Linked DNA regions of Saccharomyces cerevisiae S288C. The protein of the gene in region 4 interacts with the protein of the main gene of each other region in a pairwise test. Each region holds a gene or a part of one and is shown on either strand. Other genes may lie near its edges. The genes, in order: FKS3, SMF3, ECM3 and COS4.

Evidence for each region.
Region 1: the proteins of COS4 (region 4) and FKS3 interact in a protein complementation assay, tested with the Saccharomyces cerevisiae proteins (one large-scale study listed by BioGRID).
Region 2: the proteins of COS4 (region 4) and SMF3 interact in a protein complementation assay, tested with the Saccharomyces cerevisiae proteins (one large-scale study listed by BioGRID).
Region 3: the proteins of COS4 (region 4) and ECM3 interact in a protein complementation assay, tested with the Saccharomyces cerevisiae proteins (one large-scale study listed by BioGRID).

Annotation. Positions count from the first base shown.
Region 1 is NC_001145.3:878,864-887,016, forward strand, and holds FKS3 (putative 1,3-beta-D-glucan synthase), read left to right. Parts: upstream 1-2,295; coding exon 2,296-7,653; downstream 7,654-8,153. Other genes in the region: SCW10 (putative family 17 glucosidase), read right to left, coding at 200-1,369; 1,3-beta-glucanosyltransferase GAS1, read left to right, coding at 8,140-8,153. UniProt on the Saccharomyces cerevisiae protein: Required for spore wall assembly.
Region 2 is NC_001144.5:209,460-213,617, reverse strand, and holds SMF3 (putative divalent metal ion transporter SMF3), read left to right. Parts: upstream 1-1,684; coding exon 1,685-3,106; downstream 3,107-4,158. Other genes in the region: mismatch repair protein MLH2, read left to right, coding at 1-1,249; RSC58 (Rsc58p), read right to left, coding at 3,349-4,158. UniProt on the Saccharomyces cerevisiae protein: Has a role in controlling the cellular iron ion levels. Mobilizes vacuolar stores of iron in conditions of low iron levels.
Region 3 is NC_001147.6:493,024-497,622, reverse strand, and holds ECM3 (putative ATPase ECM3), read right to left. Parts: upstream 2,497-4,599; coding exon 655-2,496; downstream 1-654. Other genes in the region: CMR2 (Cmr2p), read left to right, coding at 1-117; translation machinery-associated protein TMA46, read right to left, coding at 3,153-4,190. UniProt on the Saccharomyces cerevisiae protein: May be involved in cell wall organization and biogenesis.
Region 4 is NC_001138.5:4,512-8,268, forward strand, and holds COS4 (Cos4p), read left to right. Parts: upstream 1-1,914; coding exon 1,915-3,054; downstream 3,055-3,757.

The DNA.
Region 1 (8,153 bases), on a different chromosome or scaffold from region 4:
GTAGCTAAAAGGAAGACAAATTGAAAAATCTTTCACAAATGAGTATAGAATATATACTTTACACAAAACACATAAGTAAACAATAACGTGATAAGAATAGGAGAGCAAATATGGGAAAGGGCTTATTTCCCCCATATTTGGCTGCTTTTTAAGAAAAAGGGAAAAAGAATGATCATAAAGTAAATGAAGTTTCAGTGGTTTAATCACTTGATAGAATACCCCAGTATTTTTCAACACCGTATTGCCCATCATCTTTCCATAGATCATTGAAGGCGGTAAATAAGTAAGCTGAAGAGCCGCAGGAGCTTTTGATAGAAGAAATGGCGGCTTCTTGGTTTGCTTTAGATGGGACAGCTTCGCCGTAAGTATCACCCTTAGATGGCCAACCAGTTTCGGTAATAACGACGTCCTTTTTCCCACCACAAGCAGTGTAAACCCTTTCGATTTGTTCTAGTACCCATGGTCCTGCATCTTGGGCCGCAGTATTTTCATCGAAGTATGCATGGGCGTTGACAGCCATATAGTCAGAATAATTACACAGGTCAGGGTTATTTATAACAGCAATGAAGGTATCAACGGAAACGACTGAGCCTGTATAACCAGCAGAGGTTAAAGCTGACTTGGCCGTGGAAACGTATTCACCGACTTGCGTCGTAGTGGCAGAACCGCCATTGACCAGTTCGTTACCGACAGAAACAGTGGTAATATCATCCCAGGAGCCATAAGACTCAACTGCAGATTTAATAGTATCAACGGCGTCTTGAATTTTGTCAACGTAATATATGCCTAAGAATAATTTCTGGCTTGAAGTTTTAGCTTGCAAGACATTCTCAACCTGACTACAGTCAACGCCATATAATCTGATGTTGTCAAAACCAGTCAACTGTTCTAAATCTGAGGCGACTTGAGCAGTAGATTTACAGGACCCATCATCATTGTAAGGACTGTAAGTAATACCCTTAGCACCGGAGGCTGAGATACTAGATGAAGCGGAGGATGAAGCTGAAGATGAAGTTGAGGATGAGGATGAGGGTGAGGATGAAGTCGAAGAACCAACCGTAGATGCTGCCTCGGAAGATTGAAGAGTGCTGGTTTGTTGTTGAGAAGTGACGACATTAGCGGAAGTTGTTGGTTCTAAAGTGGATGTAGTTGCTTGAGAAGCAACTGCAGTACTGCTGGTAGTAGCTACAACAGCATTCTCGTTCACTGGAACAATAGTTTCGCCGCTGTTACCGGAAACGACAACAGTAACCTGCGCATGGACTGTGGCAGTAACAACGTCACGCTTTTCATGTTTATGGCGAACAGCAGGAGCTCCTAGAGCTCCGGTTAATAATGCAGATACAGTTAGGAAATTTGAAAAACGCATAATGGAATGAAGACTTTTTTTGCGTTAATACTATCTTTTGACAATTTGAAAAAAAGAACAGTAATAGTAAAGGAGAGACGTGACAGTTGGATGTTCAGCTCAATATTGCAAAAGTATAGTATTTAACTCTTTTATTTGGGCCTATATAATAGATGAATTTAAAATGGGAAAAATATGATGCACGCTTCAAAGATACACTGTAAGACAAACTTCACGCAGACATCTTTCCCTCCATTATAAATACTACAGTTTTGAAACAAACGTGGAAAAGAAGGCTTATGGATACGGCTCTCGATGGAGAAGTTACTGTACACATGAAAACACGAATAACTTTCAAACGCGTGCGACGTTTGTTACCATATTCAAACGTTTCAACGCGAATTTTTTGTCCGCTGTTTCGCGCAATTAAAAGTCTTGGCATTTTTCTCTTCAGGTTTTACTTCGTCCGAAATCTTCGAGGACTTTTCCGAAAAAGGTAAATTACTGCAAACGGTCTTTCGCGAAATCTAGACCGAAGATCTCTGGGGATATGTAAGGAACAAATATTTTTGTCATTGAGGGCTTAGATAAAAAGAAAATCTAGATGTCTTGCCTGAGAAAAAGAAAGAGGGAGGCATTCTTTCTTAATTATTACCGTGCCTGGTATCAGCATAAGTGAAGGCCGAGACAGCTTTCGTATATGGCTGTTGCACGTCTCTGAACTAATCATTCTCGCCCATCAAGATCGGACCATCTTGCCTAGTGCGGCAATGATGGTTAAATTATGCGGGTAAGAGTTTTACATGGTCAGCGGCTATTTGGCGAGAACCTTCAAAAGTAATTATGCCTTCTAGGATTTGCCACTATACAACTTAATCATTAAGGGCTGTGGAACTGCATATTGGGAAAAGAAAAACATACTGAGAAGGAAAGTTAAGGAGTTGAATATGGATTTTATGAGTCCCAAGTTTTCGCTAACTGACGTTGAGTATCCTGCTTGGTGCCAAGACGATGAAGTCCCAATAACAATGCAGGAAATTAGAGAAATTTTTGTGGAGCTCATGGATAAGTTTGGCTTCCAGAAATCTTCTATGGAAAATATGTATCAACATTTAATGGGACAGCTGGACTCCAGGGCAAGTCGTACAGGTGCTCAAAATGCTTTAGTATCGCTACATGTTTCATATATTGGAGGCGAACACGCAAATTATAGAAAATGGTATTTTGCCGCTCAGCTCGATTTAGATGAAGAGATCGGGTTTCAAAACATGCGACTACATGGAAAGGCACGCCAAAGAAACGTAAAAATGGCGAAGAAAAGAGGCGTATCGATAAAGGAACAAATTAAGCAATGGAATGAGAAGGAGCAAGAGTTCATCAATAACCATCCAAAGATCACACTGACTCAAGAACAATTGGAAGATCAGACAAACTTGAAAAGTGCAGACTACAAATGGAAATTGAAAATGAAAAAATTGACGCCCGAAAATATGATAAGACAGCTGGCCCTTTATTTGCTTTGCTGGGGTGAAGCCAATCAAGTCAGATTCGCCCCAGAATGCCTTTGCTTTATTTTCAAATGTGCACTTGATTATGATATTAGTACGTCAAGTAGCGAAAAAACGGTGAAATCACCTGAGTATTCATACTTAAATGACGTTATTACTCCCTTATACGAATTCCTAAGGGGCCAAGTATACAAAAAAGACGCAAAGGGGAACTGGAAACGAAGAGAAAAAGACCACAAGAATATTATTGGTTACGACGACATCAATCAATTATTTTGGTACCCGGAAGGATTTGAACGTATTATTTTAAACAATGGAGAACGATTAGTTGACAAGCCATTGGAGGAGAGATATCTTTACTTTAAAGACGTTGCATGGTCTAAAGTATTTTATAAGACATATAGAGAAACCAGAAGTTGGAAGCATTGTTTTACCAATTTCAATAGATTCTGGATTATCCATTTTGCACCGTTTTGGTTCTTCACCACATTTAATTCCCCCACTTTGTACACCAAGAATTATATACAGTTATTGAATAACCAGCCTACACCCCAAGTTAGACTATCAGTGATTGCCTTTGGAGGCACAATTGCATGTTTAGTTCAAATTTTAGCCACCGTGTTCGAGTGGGGATTTGTACCTCGAGAATGGCCAGGCGCTCAGCATTTATCGAGTAGAATGATTGGCTTACTTTTTTGTCTTGCAATCAATTTGGGACCTTCCGTGTATGTTCTGGGGTTTTTCGAATGGGATGTTCATTCAAAATCTGCGTATATCGTGTCCATCGTCCAACTAATCATTGCATTTTTAACCACTTTTTTTTTTGCTGTCAGACCTTTGGGCGGCTTATTTCGTCCATATTTGAATAAAGACAAAAAACATCGGAGGTACATCTCATCGCAAACCTTTACCGCTTCATTTCCTAAGCTGACAGGACGCAGCAAATGGTTTTCTTATGGGTTATGGGTATTTGTGTATTTGGCGAAATATATTGAGTCCTATTTTTTTTTGACCTTGTCCCTCAGGGACCCCATCAGGGTCCTCTCTATTATGGATTTGTCCAGATGTCAAGGTGAATATTTGTTGGGTCCTATTCTATGTAAATGGCAAGCCAAAATTACATTAGTTCTCATGCTGCTTTCTGACTTGGGCCTGTTTTTTCTCGACACTTACCTTTGGTACATTATTTGCAACTGTATTTTTTCCATTGTACTGTCATTTTCTCTTGGTACTTCAATTCTCACGCCATGGAAGAATGTATACTCTCGATTGCCAAAAAGGATATATTCCAAAATCCTTGCTACTTCAGAGATGGATGTAAAATTTAAAGCAAAAATACTGATATCGCAGGTTTGGAATGCCATTGTTATATCAATGTATAGGGAACATCTTCTCTCCATTGAACATTTACAAAGACTCTTGTTTCAGCAAGTTGACTCCTTAATGGGAGACACAAGAACCCTGAAATCGCCTACATTTTTCGTTGCACAAGATGATTCAACGTTCAAGTCAATGGAATTTTTTCCATCAAATTCAGAGGCAAAAAGAAGGATATCCTTTTTTGCCCAATCCCTGGCGACCCCCATTTCAGAACCTGTTCCAGTGGATTGTATGCCAACTTTTACCGTTTTGGTACCCCATTATTCAGAAAAGATTCTGTTGGGCTTGAAGGAAATTATCAGGGAAGAATCTCCTAAAAGTAAAATCACGGTGCTTGAGTATTTGAAGCATCTACACCCTACAGAATGGGAATGTTTTGTTAAGGATACCAAACTACTAAGCATGGAAAAGAGCTTTTTGAAAGAGGCAGAGAGCAGTCATGATGAAGATAGATTGGAAATTCCGGATGCTCTGTACGATCCAAGGTCTAGCCCGCTTTCTGACCATACTGAGTCCCGGAAGTTGCCCACAGAAGACGATCTTATTAAGGAGAAAATTAATGATTTGCCATTTTCTTACTTTGGCTTCAACTCATCAGAACCATCGTACACCCTGAGAACAAGAATCTGGGCATCATTGCGGACGCAGACTTTGTACCGAACCCTTTCAGGGTTTATGAACTATTCCAAAGCTATTAAGCTACTGTATCGAATTGAAAACCCCTCTTTAGTTAGCTTGTATCGTGGCAATAATGAAGCATTGGAGAATGACTTAGAAAATATGGCTAGCAGGAAATTTAGGATGGTTGTTGCTATGCAGAGATATGCAAAATTTAATAAGGATGAAGTGGAGGCAACAGAACTACTTTTAAGAGCCTATCCAAATATGTTTATATCTTACCTTTTGGAAGAATTAGAGCAAAATGAATCTGAGAAAACGTACTATTCGTGCCTGACTAATGGCTATGCTGAGTTTGACGAAGAAAGTGGATTAAGGAAGCCAATATTCAAAATTCGCCTGTCGGGCAATCCAATACTTGGCGATGGAAAATCGGATAATCAGAACCATTCTATTATATTTTATCGTGGTGAGTATATTCAGGTGATTGATGCAAACCAAGATAATTATTTGGAGGAATGCCTAAAGATACGGTCTGTTTTAAGTGAGTTCGAAGAGCTTGAGCTTAATCCCACAATCCCATACATTCCTGGCATTGAATATGAAGAAGAACCACCGCCCATCGCTATTGTTGGTTCAAGAGAGTATATTTTTTCAGAAAATATTGGAGTGTTAGGTGATATTGCTGCAGGTAAAGAACAGACTTTTGGAACCTTATTTGCTAGAACGTTGGCTGAAATTGGTGGTAAATTGCACTATGGGCATCCCGATTTTCTCAATGGCATTTTTATGACCACTCGTGGTGGCCTGTCTAAGGCACAAAGAGGATTGCATTTAAACGAGGATATATATGCTGGAATGAACGCAATCTGCCGTGGTGGAAAGATAAAACATAGTGATTACTACCAATGTGGTAAGGGTAGAGATTTGGGATTTGGGTCCATCCTGAATTTCACTACTAAAATAGGTGCAGGTATGGGGGAACAGCTACTATCAAGGGAGTACTATTATTTGGGGACACAACTTCCCATGGATAGATTTTTATCGTTTTTTTATGCACATCCTGGTTTCCATCTGAATAATCTTTTTATTTCCTTTTCGGTTCAACTGTTCTTCGTTCTGCTTTTAAACTTGGGTGCGTTGAACCATGAAATTATAGCCTGCTTTTACGACAAGGATGCACCAATTACAAATCTTGAGACACCCGTTGGTTGTTATAATATTCAGCCTGCATTGCATTGGGTATCGATATTCGTACTATCAATCTTCATTGTTTTCTTTATTGCCTTTGCCCCTTTGCTGATTCAAGAAGTTTTGGAAAAGGGTATTTGGAGAGCAGCTTCAAGGTTCCTACATCATCTTCTTTCAATGGCCCCATTATTTGAAGTATTCGTCTGCCAAGTTTATTCGAATTCTCTATTGATGGACTTGACCTTTGGGGGAGCAAAGTACATATCTACAGGTCGTGGGTTTGCAATAACACGCCTCGATTTTTTTACGCTCTATTCCAGATTTGTTAATATATCGATATATTCTGGTTTCCAAGTGTTCTTCATGTTATTATTCGCGATTATTTCCATGTGGCAACCCGCCTTATTATGGTTTTGGATTACAGTCATTTCGATGTGCTTCGCACCTTTTATTTTCAATCCACATCAGTTCGCATTCATGGATTTCTTCATTGATTATAAAACCTTTATCCACTGGTTATTCTCAGGTAACACGAAATATCAAAAAGAATCGTGGGCAAACTTTGTCAAGAGTTCTCGATCAAGATTTACGGGCTATAAAAGTAAAACTGTAGATGATATTTCCGAAGATTCAGGCCATGATTCAAAGAAAGCGAGGTTTTGGAACGTCTTCTTTGCAGAACTATTTCTACCTTTCTGTGTGTTCCTCTTCAACTTCACCGCTTTTTCTTTCATTAATGCACAAACAGGGGTCTCTGACTCAACACCAACTAGCGCTGTTTTCCGTTTGTTGCTCGTAACTTTTTTGCCAATCTTTCTTAACTCAATAGTGCTTTTTCTATTATTTTGGGTTTCACTTTTTGTGGTTCCTGGATTGTCATATTGTTGTAAAGACGCAGGTGCCGTGATTGCGTTTATTGCACACACTTTCTCGGTTTTGGTCTATCTTTTAGATTTCGAACTGATGTGGTTCTTACAAGGTTGGAACTTTACCCGTACATTGATACTGCTTATTACGTGCATCAATATGCATCTGATTCTTTTCAAGGTCTTTACGACGATATTCTTGACAAGGGAGTATAAAAACAATAAGGCACATTTGGCATGGTGGAATGGTAAATGGTACAATACGGGCATGGGCTGGTCTATCATTTTACAGCCCATACGAGAATACTTCGTGAAGATTATGGAATCTAGTTATTTTGCAGCAGATTTCTTTCTTGGTCACTTCCTCTTATTTATACAAACGCCCATAATATTGTTACCATTTATCGATTACTGGCATACAATGGTGCTATTTTGGATGAATCCAAGAAGTATTATCGCGCATAAAAGAATTTTGACTCGAAAGCAGAGAGCATTAAGAAGTAGGATAGTTTCAAAATATTTCTCTCTATATTTTGTGATGCTAGGTGTGCTCCTTTTTATGCTCATCGCGCCATTCTTTGCTGGTGATTTCGTATCTAGTCCGCAAGAATTGCTGGAAGGCACCCTTTTCGAAGGAATCTTCCAACCTAACAACCAAAACAACAACGATACTGGTCCAAATGCTCCATCGACAATCCTGACTACAACACCAACTTTACCTACCTTTAGGACTGTCGCATAGGGATAAAAAAAAAAAGTTATTTTGAGTAGCTGATAAAGCGAGCTGGTGCCTATCATAGCCGGCTCAGACTTTTTATGAATTCACAGGCCAGCCCTGGCTATTCTTTTGCGTACTTTTAGTTCGATATATTTTCGCGGCTCGCGTTTTGTTTGCTTCTTATTTTACACTGAGTTTTCGTGCCGCAAACGTGGAGATGGGAAAAAGAAAAGTCGGGAAAATAATGAGAAATTTCTACTTTTGGTATTCCTCATACAGCCTGCGCGGTTTATTAGTAAAATACCCGATAATCCTCGAGGTTTGAAAAACTTTTCCCTCTACTACTGTTGACACGGATTTTTTTATTTAAGAGGAAAAGTCGTGGTTGTTTTCCTCGAACAAATTAGATATCCATAAATAGTTGTGTCGTTTTATTAAGCTATTTCAAAATCAGTTTTTATTTTTAAAGTCTGATAAAACAAAAACAACAAACACAGCTAAATCTCAACAATGTTGTTTAAATC
Region 2 (4,158 bases), on a different chromosome or scaffold from region 4:
TGTTAATGAGAGAGCGCTATCTTTGAACTTGGAGACGGGGAAGACTATTTCTAAGTTACTATCGTCAATCTATAGAGATTTCTCTTTACTAGATCCTATGGTTTGGTTTATTAATTTAAATTGCGATACAAAGCTTCTTGACGTAAATATCGAACCAGAGAAAAATGACGTGATGATCAAAAGTTTTGAAGTGATATTTAAGAAGATAGAGAATAAGTTAAAGTTGTTATTGGAGGAGAGAATTGGCATCGAAACAAATATGCTGGGAGATAAACATGTTCAGCCTTCTATCAACGAAAAAACTTCTCCCGCACTGGTGATACCTACACCCGACGCAGAGAATGAAATATCAAAGGGCTGTGGTGCTGTTAGTGGTAAAGACAAGACTGACATCCCACAAAAAAACTCAGATTTGATAGTACCAACTTTTTACGATGAAGCAAACTTAGAGAATACGACCATTGTCGCTGCTACTCCTTCACCTACAAAATTTAGCGAGGATAAAGCTCTTGACGAACAAACTCAGCTGACCATTTCAAGTTATAGAAGCTCGAGTTCCGGGTCTATGGCTTCCGAGGACAGTACTAATTGGCGACATAATTTCCAACAAGAACTAAGCGAAAATAGTGAAGTAGCAGGAGCTGGATCCTCAACATTACCCTCGTCATTAACTTATAACTATATAGAAACTATTCCAGAGAACGAGGATTTAGAACTTTCTAAGGACGCTTCTATTTCTAATCCTTTTATGATCACAAAAATAAGAAACGTCAACAAGAAACTGAGCGAAAACTTACTTGAGGCCAAACGTACTAGCTGTGGAGATGCCAATAAAAGGGGAATGCCCAACGAAAGACAGCTTTCAAATACAGAAAAAAAGGAACTAATAAAGCTTCAGCAAACCTACGGTAAAAGAAACAATACCGTGGACATGACCATTCCACGAAATTCGAAAAAAAAAGTAACTGATAATTATATAAAGAAAGCATCCTGCATGCACAAAACAAGGCCGAAACTCATGCATTTTTCCGAGTATACCAACAACTACGTCTATACCCTGAAGAATGAAAAAATTGTTAAGCATGACAGCGATAACTTTGCCAAAGAAACTCTGTGGTTACGATCGAGGGACGATGCCACAAGCCCTTCTTCCAGTCTTTTGCAAGCCTTGCGAGCGCATGTGAAGAAACCGGGACACATTGAAGCCACGACAAATGAATGGTGCCTCTTCACGCCAGACAGCCCCTGATGATCGGGTGCACTATCACCACTCAGCACAATAGATTACTTCATAATAGACCATTGTTTGTAACTCATGGTAACCGCACCCTGTTGCCCGCCCTGCCTCTCTTCCAGTTTCCGCACCTTGAAATTTCCGTTTTGGGTCAACTTAAAAATGCTCTAATATTGCATTGTTACGACATCCTGTTGTCATGCGACTAAAGGTATTTATACTGTATATATCTCATTCATCTGATTCTGTGAGGTTGCATAATTGAATATTTATTTCAAAGGAGCTAGAAGACAAAGATCACTCCACATAAATATACGGGGTTCCTTTATATATTAGTTCATTTTTTTTTTCAGTTGTCATACCCAAACTATTATTTCCTTCTGAACTCCTTTAAATATATCGTTCTTCCAAGCTAATTGATAACAGTAGTAGCATCACAAGAGAAAAAAAATGCGATCTTATATGCAGATTCTTCAAAAATTTGCCAAATTTATTGGGCCAGGGATATTAGTCAGTGTGGCTTATATGGACCCAGGAAATTATGCCACTAGTGTTTCCGGTGGTGCTCAATACAAATATACCTTATTATTCTCTATTTTTATATCCAACATTTTTGCCGTACTTTTGCAATGTCTCTGTGTGAAGCTGGGTACTATCACTGGCTATGATTTGGCTGAAAACTGTCGTCATAATTTGCCTAAAAAGCTAAACTATACCCTTTACCTTTTCGCTGAAGTGGCAATCATTGCTACTGATCTGGCCGAGGTTGTAGGCACTGCCATCGCTTTACAAATTCTTTTCAAAATACCACTAACTTGGGGTGTCTTATTAACGGTGCTAGATGTTTTGGTAATTTTAATGTTCTACACACCAAACGGCCAGTCCTTAAAAAAAGTTAGGGTTTTCGAATTTGGCGTTGGGATTTTGGTCATTGGAACTTGCATTTGCTTTGTTTTGGAGCTGTTTAAAGTTTCAATCCCAGACAAAGCTGAATTGTTTAAAGGGTTTTTGCCTTCAAATATCATTTTTAAGGAACAACAAGCTCTTTACATTTCATTGGGTATCTTAGGTGCCACTGTGATGCCTCATTCATTATACTTGGGCTCATCCATTGTTAAACCAAGATTGCACGATTACGATTTGAAGAAATACGGTAAGGTTAATGCCCGCCCAAGTTTAAGCGCTATAAAATATACGTTAAACTATGCGTACGCTGAACTAATCATTTCTTTGTTCTTAATTGCCACCTTTGTTAATTCCGCTATTTTAATTGTTGCAGGTGCTACTTTATCAGGCCAACCTGAGGCAGAGGATGCTGATTTGTTATCTATTTACAAATTACTGGTCCACTACATATCTCCTGCGGCAGGGTTAATCTTTGCATTGGCCATGTTATGTTCTGGTCAATCTGCCGGTATCATCTGTACACTTGCCGGGCAAATCGTTTCTGAGGGATTTTTACAGTGGTCTTTACCACCTTGGGCCACAAGATTGTGCACCAGATTGATTGCCATTGTACCATGTTTATTTGTTACTTTAACCATGGGGGAAAAGGGAATTTCAGATATTTTGAATTTTTCTCAAGTGGTCTTGTCCTTAATTTTACCAATCGTATCCGCTCCTTTAATTTATTTTACCGCAAATAGAAAGTTGATGGTTGTTCATGACGAAAATGGTGTGGTAAGAGCACCTGCCGATGTTAACGCCATTGCTGATGAAACCACTCCATTGAACTCCAAGCACAGTAAAATAGTTGATTTTACTAACAGTCGTTTGTTGACCTATACCTCTGTTTTCGTATGGGCTTTAATCGGGAGCTTGAATTGCTATTTGGTGATTTCCTATCTCTTAGGTGCCGACATCCATTTTTAATGGAACCTATTTATTGTCAAGTGTGTCGTTTTCTCTCGATTCTTGTTTTCTCTCATTTCTTTATTCTGCATAATACAACCCAAGTATATACTTACGTATGCATAGCCTTCAGAACAAATGCATACTTTATCTAATATCAAAATATAAACATACATTAGTCAAAAAAGACTTGATGAGCTTTCATGAAACTAAAACAAAGATAATTCATTATTTATCTTTGATTCCACTACCGCTGACACTATTTATTTCTTGTGTTTCCGTTTACGACCTGGTTGCGCCCTTACCACAGGTATGCTACCATTATAGTTTGTTTGTAATACTGGAAAGGCCCTTACATTGTTTATAGGAACCTTGGAAACCTTCTTTGCTAAGATAACCTCCTTTAGTATTCTTTTCACTTTGAAGTATAATTCTCGTTCCTCCGTAGTAGGCTTCAAAACTTTATTTAAAATCCTCTCCTTTCTAAGTCTTTTAAGTTTTAAGAGAGAGTCTGAAACCAACTTATCTGGTGTGCCATTTCGAAAGTTCTCAATTTCGTCATCTCCAATGTAATTAGATGGTGTCCAATTATATAAGTTTTGAAGCTTGATTATGAATTGTTCCTTATTCTCAGTACTCTCTGAATTTGCAGAAGCGATAGTCGCATCATTATCATTATCACCACCATCGTCCTGAACGCCATTGCTTTTGCCGTCAACATTTTTGTTGTTTTCATCGTTCTGCTTCCTGTTTATGCCTTCTTCATTCGTGTTCAGTAATTCTTCTTGTTTTACTTTCTTTTCATTTTTTTCATACAAGTCCATATAACCAATTCTTTCAAGCCAAATAAGACCCCTTGTTGTCGAATCCACAACGGTGCCGTTTTCATTAAAGGAAGGTGCCCAAGAATTATAATTACCATATTTTAGCCAGACGGTTGTAGGTAAAGCATACCAATTTGGATGCAAAAATCTAGTCATCATTTCAGTTGGTGGTAACGTAGGGTCCGGAATATTACTAGTATTAGCGCCTACAAATCCTAATCTTGGAGCTTCGTTTTCTATATCAGTTTG
Region 3 (4,599 bases), on a different chromosome or scaffold from region 4:
TCGATAATGCAAGCCTGGTTTGATCAGAAAATTCAAATAGAAGCACAATTTGGCATAAACTATGGTGAAAATATTTCCATTTATTTATTATCAGATTATGAAAAGGACAATATTTAACACATCCAAGTACAGTAAATTTGTCATGACTATTGGATGCTACTGAGTTGTGGAAAGACTCTAATTAATCTATATTAGAGATTAAATAATTATTTATAATTTTTGATTATAAACATGAAATAATCATGTATGTTTTATATGTAAATACGCTATACCACTTAAAAATTAATGAAAAGGATATTTATGATTCACAAATAATTAAAAGATCACCTTTTTTCGTTCCATCAGAAAATCTTATGTTCGAAAAAAGAAGAAAAAGATTAGTAACACTGAGAAGCTGCGACTAAATGTTATTTTTTTGAATAACAATCAAAAGTGAAATTGTATAAACAGAAGAAAAAGCATGAAGTTTTGTTTTCATTATTATTTTTATACTATGAAACTCTATAAAATCTGAAATAAGTGAATTCTACGTTGATAAAAAAAGACCAACAAACAACTATAAAATTACACCCTGATTCAGTTGTACGATGAAATGAAATTATGAGAATGAGAATGGGAATGCATGAATAGATCTTGTTTCTTCCTTAACGAACTTTATAATTTCATTTGAACTTTGATGAAATAAGACACCAAAAATGGTAAACTAACGACCATCAAAGGATATTGAAGCATCAAAAAGAAAGAGGTACATTCCATTTGAACGGGTTCAGTTTCGTCCTCAGGGGTATAACTTGCAGTGAAGTAGATTAAGGTGGTCATTGTTGGTAAGTTCCAAGTAATGGCGGTAACAAACAATAACATCTTGTCGTTTTCCCAATTTAGCCATCCCGCTTTCACTAGACGGTCACACCACAAGACACCAAAGATCGGCATGATACATTGTCTGAGAAAGACTAATACCACTGCGGATTTCCAGAAACCAGGGTATAATTTTCCAATTTTCAATCTACCAAGAGTAGCGCCTAAAAGAATCAAACCGAAGGGAACTGAAGCGGCTCCAACATAAGATGTAAAATCCATAATGAAAGTTAGAGCAGGTGCATTATCTGGGGCTTGTTTGATTTTTGGTGTATTACTGGTCGTAACGAAAAGGGCTTTTACCCAGGGAATAAAAGCGATAATCAAAGCCAGGATAACAGCCATGGAACAAGGCCTTAGACAATTTTTTAGAAAAAAGACGAAAAATTTTGTTAAGGGAAATTTCTGTAGCCATTTTGGTAAAGAGGAACCGGAAGTCTCAATATCTTTCTTACTAACAGTGGCATCTGAGGTGATTATTCTTGTTAGGTTGGAAGTTTTGACTCTTTGTAAAGTGGAGGTTCTAGTCAAATTTGGAGAAATAGTACCGTCTGCCTGCAAAACAGAGGGTGCTCCTTGGGAGCTGATAGAACTTTTCCTTCTTCTACCGTATTGATCAACATTGGAGTATTCACGAATTAAATCCGACATGCCTTCCGCGGGTAGTTCACGCATATCGATGGAACGTAAGGAGCCAGTGATGGAATTCCTGCGGTTATTATGAACATGTGATGTTCTTGACTCGGTAGTGTATGCTATTGGTTGACTTCTAGTTCTGTAAGTAGGATCGTTAAGCTCGCTTACAGATTGGGCATCCACATGGTTTGTGCGTAGTGAGTGTGTAATGCTATCGATAGAGACCACCGCGGATGAGTTCGAGCTCCTGTCATCTATTGCTGGAGGGGCAGTATGTGTAGGCTTGGGGACAGAGAGTTCAGTTTTTTCTTTTTTATTTTTCTCAGAAATGTAGCTTGCTTGTGAACTGTTAGGAACGGTAGACTCGTTGGGCTCTTTCAGGATATCTTGGTTGGATGAAGAAGAAGAATTGCCTTCAATTGGTTGTGTTGGCTGTTGGGCAGAATCATCATTGGTCAACGTATTTTCTTCATCGTCATCACCTTTGTAATGGAAATCGTTTTCAATTAGTCTGAAACCACCTAAATTGAAAACACATATCAAAAACATGGCCAGAAAGATGATAACGTTGGCAACACCTTTCTCACCTTCTGCTTCTGTAAATATAAACCCTTGGTCCATGGATTGCAAATAGGCGATGGGTAGATCGCTGATATTGGGAAACATACCTCCTGCAAGTATACCACCACGCCATCTCTTAGGAACAGGCAGCACACTGCGAACAATAAAGGCAAACCCCAAGCCAGTTGCGAACAGTATAACAGACGTCAGACAAATAATGCCGACATCTTTGATATCGTTATCTTCTATATTTGCTACGATTTTATTGAATGATAAACAAGGAAGCAGAATTGTTAAAACGATATCAGAGATGGACCTTGTGGCCTGAACGGTTAAGATGTTCATCTTGCATAAACCGAAGCCTACACCAATAATCAGATAGATTTTGATGATTGGTCTGACAGAGGCCCAGATGGCTTGTCCCAGTGTGATGTGTGTCATTGTCTACTTGTCTTGAACTTACTCTTTGTCTTCTATTGTTTTGTTTGTGTTGGTTCTATAATGCTAAACTTAACTATCTATGCCTTTTTATCTTCCTCTCGGTAATGGTCAACAATACGCAGTTTCTGTACAAATGTAAAGTCTGAAAAACCTAATATAAAGAAAAATTGCGAGGCTTCTGAGAAGAAATTCCGGATGCCCTATGATGAAAGTCTATATTAAAAACAATGAAAGGCCTATTATATAACAAAAATTACAAGCATATAATAACGGTGCAAGAGTAACAGATGGTAGCGTACGAAGGAGGGATGCGTCAAACATATATTCAGGCCCTCTAAGTATATAGCCTCATCCCCCGAGGCTGCAAAGAGATGCAGTGAAAGGAAGCTCAACTATCACCGATTGTGAAATAGAGAGCAAAACTCGAGCACTTTTAATCCCAGATATTGTCGGGCGGATCCGAGGTGAAAAAACACCTCAACAACGTGGGGGCGTGGGGCGTGGGATATCGAAAGGGGCAAAAAGACGGCAGATAAGCATGGGCCGCGGTCGTGCTGCGTGATCAGCTACATGACGTGACATGCTTTGTGTTGGTGTGTGTGCGTGTATTATATATACGGTGGCATATATACAGTTTAGTCTATATGAATTTTAGACTATGCGAGCGTGGCGGAGTTGGCTTTTTTGATGTCGAAGGTGGGGTTGCTACCGTCACCGTAGTCCTTGATGCCGCCGTCGTCTTGGTGGTCAGCCTTCTTCAAGGCATCTGTGAATTCAGTAAGATCCCATGCGGATCCCTGGGTGACGTCGTCTGGCATGTCGGCGTTGTCCGTCTCAAATGACTTGTTTTCGGCGCTCATCTTAAGAATGATTTCTCTACCAGTAGGTTTCCTCTTACTAGATAACTTCTTTTCAGCGTTAATCTTTGCGATGACGTGGTCCTTCTTCCATTGGGCGAAGTTGGCAATTGTTATTGGTGTTAGCTTGGATTTGTCTAGTTTCCCTCTTTCTGTTTCGATAAACTCCTCCAGCGTAATTTTTGGCTGTTTCTCGAGCGACTCCCTCTCGAGCCTCTTTTGCTCGTTGGTTTTCAGCACAAAGCCCTCTGGTAGGGAGTGTCTGTACATACATTTGTCACCTCCGTTAGGACAAATCCAAAACCAACCGTATTTACCGTTTTCCACGGCCTCGATGAAGTATTTGCATACTTTGTCGGTGGTGGTCTTTGGGTTACCGTGCTTCGACAGGATAACTTTTCTCAGCTTTTCTTCATCCCAGTTGTCCATTGTGTCATTTTCCTTTTCACTTCTTGTATCTTGGTATAAATCTTTCTTTTCCATTCTTCTACCGACGTTCAAGTCATGTGAGAACTTACATTTGGCACCTTTGTTACAATTCCCCAGTTTGAACAGAGCACAAACCATGGACTTGGGATCTACACCCGCACGAACCCTTTGGTCTGCTACAGGGTTGAATAGTGCTCTTCGTTCAGCTTCTTCGGCTTCTCTGCGCTTTTTTTCTTCGAGTTTCTTTAACCTCATCTCTTCTTTCTTGGGGTCGGATTGTGATTGCACTTGTTTGATGTATTTTTGGACTTTGGTAGAACGGTTCTTGTTCTTCATACCGAACGTCTTGTCGACATTATCCTTCTTCTTACCAGCCGCTTGGGCCTGTTTTCCCTTTTTTGGTGGCATCTTCGAAATATAACTTTCCTGCGATTTTATATGTGTAAAGCCCAGAGGTTTACTAATAGAGTGGCTTCCCTTGCTTTCTAGAAATAGTAAAACACATTGATTAAAAAAAGATATATTGTCGATTTTCACTAACTCATCGCTGGGGAACAAAAATTTTTTCATTATCATCACAGTTCATCATGTTCGACGAGCTACGTGCCAATTCATTTCCTCCACTAGTCTCCAACTTAAGAAATACTCTCAGAGGTTGCAATCTTGTGCTGTTCAGGGTGTGATGGGCAGCATTGACTAAATTTCCTTATCCCTTGCATAGTTACATTCTTAGTTATCAGGTATTGGCGACCAATTGCATACATTTTTATTTTCTACTTTAAAACTCAGTAATGAGCAGTTACCGGCCCTTCATTAT
Region 4 (3,757 bases):
ATGTCCCACTATAAAAAAATTCCTTGACGCTAGATCGTTGGACTAAAATCTGCGTCCCAATCGCCTAAACAGGAAATATTGCCTATTTTCGTACAAGGTTACTTCCTAGATGCTATATGTCCCTACGGCCTTGTCTAACACCATCCAGCATGCAATACAGTGACATATATATACCCACACACCCACACACACCACACCCACACACCCACACCCACACACCACACCCACACCACACCCACACACCACACCCACACCACACCACACCCACACCACACCCACCACACCCACACCCACACACCACACCCACACCCTAATACTACCTCAACCCTACCCTAATCCAACCCTTCCATCCTGTCTCTCAACTTACCCTCCATTACCCTGCCTCCCCACTCGTTACCCTGCCTCCCCACCACCAACCCACAAATCCACCATAACAGTTACCCTCCAATTACCCATATCCAACCTCACTGCCACTTACCCTGCCATTACCCTACCATCCACCATGTCCTACTCACTGTACTGTTGTTCTACCCTCCATATTGAAACGTTAACAAATGATCGTAAACAATGCACACATACTTACCCTGCCAATACCCTACCATGCCCCATCTGTCATACTCACCATCACTTGTATACTGATACGGCATACGCACACGGATGCTACAATAGTATATACTATCTCAACTTACCCTACTTTCACATTCCACTCCATGGCCCATCTCTCACTTCATGAGTACAAATGCACCCACATCATTATGCACGGCACTTGCCTCAGCGGTCTATACCCTGTGCCATTTACGCATAACTCCCACTATTATCCACATTTTAATATTTATATCTTATTCCGCGGCCCCAAATATTGTATAAATGCCCTTAATACATACGTTATACCTCTTTTTCACCGTATACTAACCACTCAATTTATATACACTTATGCCAATATTACAAAAAAATCACCACTAAAATCACCTAAACATAAAAATATTCTATCCTTCAACAATAATACATAAACACACTCAATTGCGTATCAATACCACCATGAGGTCATTAACTTAAATGTTCCTTAATACCGTCATACCACTATGCTCTATTCCATATATTGTAATATAACTGTACTCTATAGTCATACAGACGCTTTTACTTCACCCTATCTTCTCATACTATTGTCATAGAATCGCACACTGACGCATGATTAAAACGAATAATTTTTACTATAAGGCCTCCCATCCGTGCTCTATCCTTTTGTTTGAAACATTTATATACAGAATCTCAAAGCAAGCGGGAGAAGTAGTAATTACCCAGAGGTCATGCATGATCTTAGCACCACCGTACCTCTAAGTTTTGCTTTGAGCCTTTTTACAGTGACATCAAACATAAGGAGAAAAAATGGTATTGAAAGGTTATCAATATAGGGAAATAAATTGGTTCTATGAATCTTCATGTAAGATACTCGTAGGACAGACTCTTTCCTGTGTAAATATTTGTGACAGCTACGTCTATTTTCTATTAGATATTTACACATTTTTGTCACAGGCAATCTACGCTTAAAATATACGTTTCATTTTGGGTAACAACTGCTGTGCGAACAGTGACATTGCTGGTCGCACCTTAAATGTAAACCAAAGTTACGGCACACCGTGATGTACCCTCATACAAAGCTTTGTAAAAGTATTATTACGATTATCGAGTAACTTAGATAGAAAACCGGAAATGAAATGGACTCCCTTTTCGAATAGTAGAGTTTCTGTGCCTAAAATAGCCCAACATTGTTGCCCTTTTTCTATCACGAGGTTACTGAGCCATTGCATGAACGCGCGCGCCTCGGCGGCTTTTTTTTCTACTCTATAAAAGCGAAAAGCCAGAAGTTACTATCTCGAATAAAAAACCCCTCGAACTGCCATCTCATTACCGAAAATGAAAGAAAATGAACTTAAAAATGAGAAAAGTGTAGATGTATTATCTTTCAAACAGCTCGAATCTCAAAAGATTGTTCTACCTCAAGATCTTTTCAGAAGCAGCTTTACCTGGTTTTGTTATGAAATTTACAAGTCCTTAGCGTTTCGCATCTGGATGCTATTATGGCTACCACTTAGCGTCTGGTGGAAGCTTTCCAACAATTGGATTTACCCGCTTATGGTTTCACTTCTTGTCCTGTTTTGGGGACCAGTATTTGTTCTTGTTATTTTTAGACTTTCTCGTAAACGTTCCTTATCGAAACAACTCACTCAGTTTTGCAAAGAGATTACTAAAAGCACACCAAGTTCGGATCCTCATGATTGGGAAGTTGTTGCAGCAAATCTAAATTCGTACTTATATGAAAATAAGGCTTGGAATATTAGGTACTTTTTCTTCAATGCCATGGGCTGCCAAGAAGCGTTCAGAACAACCCTTCTCGAACCCTTCTCTTTGAAAAAAGACGAAGCTGCCAAGGTTAAGTCATTTAAGGATTCCGTCCCTTACATTGAAGAAGCATTGGGAGTTTATTTTAGAGAAGTTGAAAAACAATGGAAGTTGTTTAATTCTGAGAAATCATGGAGCCCTGTTGGCCTGGAAGATGCTAAACTTCCCAAGGAAGCTTACCGATTTAAGCTTACTTGGTTTTTAAAGAGGATTTCCAATATTTTTATGTTGATACCATTCCTTAATTTTTTGTGCTGCATATATGTGTCACGGGGAATGTGCCTTCTATTACGCACCTTGTATCTCGGGTGGATTCTTTTCATGTTGGTACAAGGTTTCCAAAATATAAGGGTTTTGATTATGAGCATGGAACACAAGATGCAGTTCTTGTCGACTATTATAAATGAGCAAGAAAGTGGTGCGAATGGATGGGACGAAATTGCAAGGAAAATGAATAGGTACTTGTTTGAGAAAAAAGTCTGGAAGAATGAAGAGTTTTTCTTTGACGGGATTGACTGTGAATGGTTTTTTAGCCACTTCTTCTACCGCGTTCTATCTGCGAAGAAATCTATGCGGGCTCTATCATTGAATGTGGAACTATGGCCATATATTAAAGAAGCGCAATTATCCTGCAGTGAGGAGTCCTTAGCGTAAAGATAAATACAACTTTTTCAATTTATATATTTTGTAGTTTGTCAGCTGCGAATAACCAAAACGAGACTACTTTTTACGATTACAACCATTCTCTTTTTCCCTATTTCTCACTGGTTGACAGAAATCAGTGTGCTATCATCCTACCATATGCGCAAAACTTATTGTCTTTCTCCTCCTAGAGATGCTGTATTCCATGCATATTCTGAACGATGGGTTGGTGTTTTTATCAAGCAAGGTTAATCACATGGCGTGGCTTGCTCCACGCATCAGTAGAAAACGCATACCGCAGCGGAATCCTTAAATAATAAGTGATTTTACTGTTCATCAACTACAATCGGACTCTTTCACAATTACCCTTCTTGTTTTCCACATTTACTGTTAAATGAAGGGATGTACAGAAGGCTTAGGAAAACCTGTGCTGAATACTGGATGGACACTGCATTCCCACAGTGAAGCTTTTATAGATACACTGCCAGTTATTTTCGAACTTTCATCAAGTTGCTGAGTTTTAGTATCCCTTTGCCTTAGCTATATGTTTGAATGAGCAAAATATTTGCAATGTCTCTAGCTTTCTTGAAATATTGGTTTATATTGAGGGCTTGGTAAGATTTCAAATTTCATTTTGAAGTGCTCAGGAGAAAAATCATGCTCTTTTGATAATTTGGTGACTAAACATACATAAAACAGTTTAATTTTGGGTGGT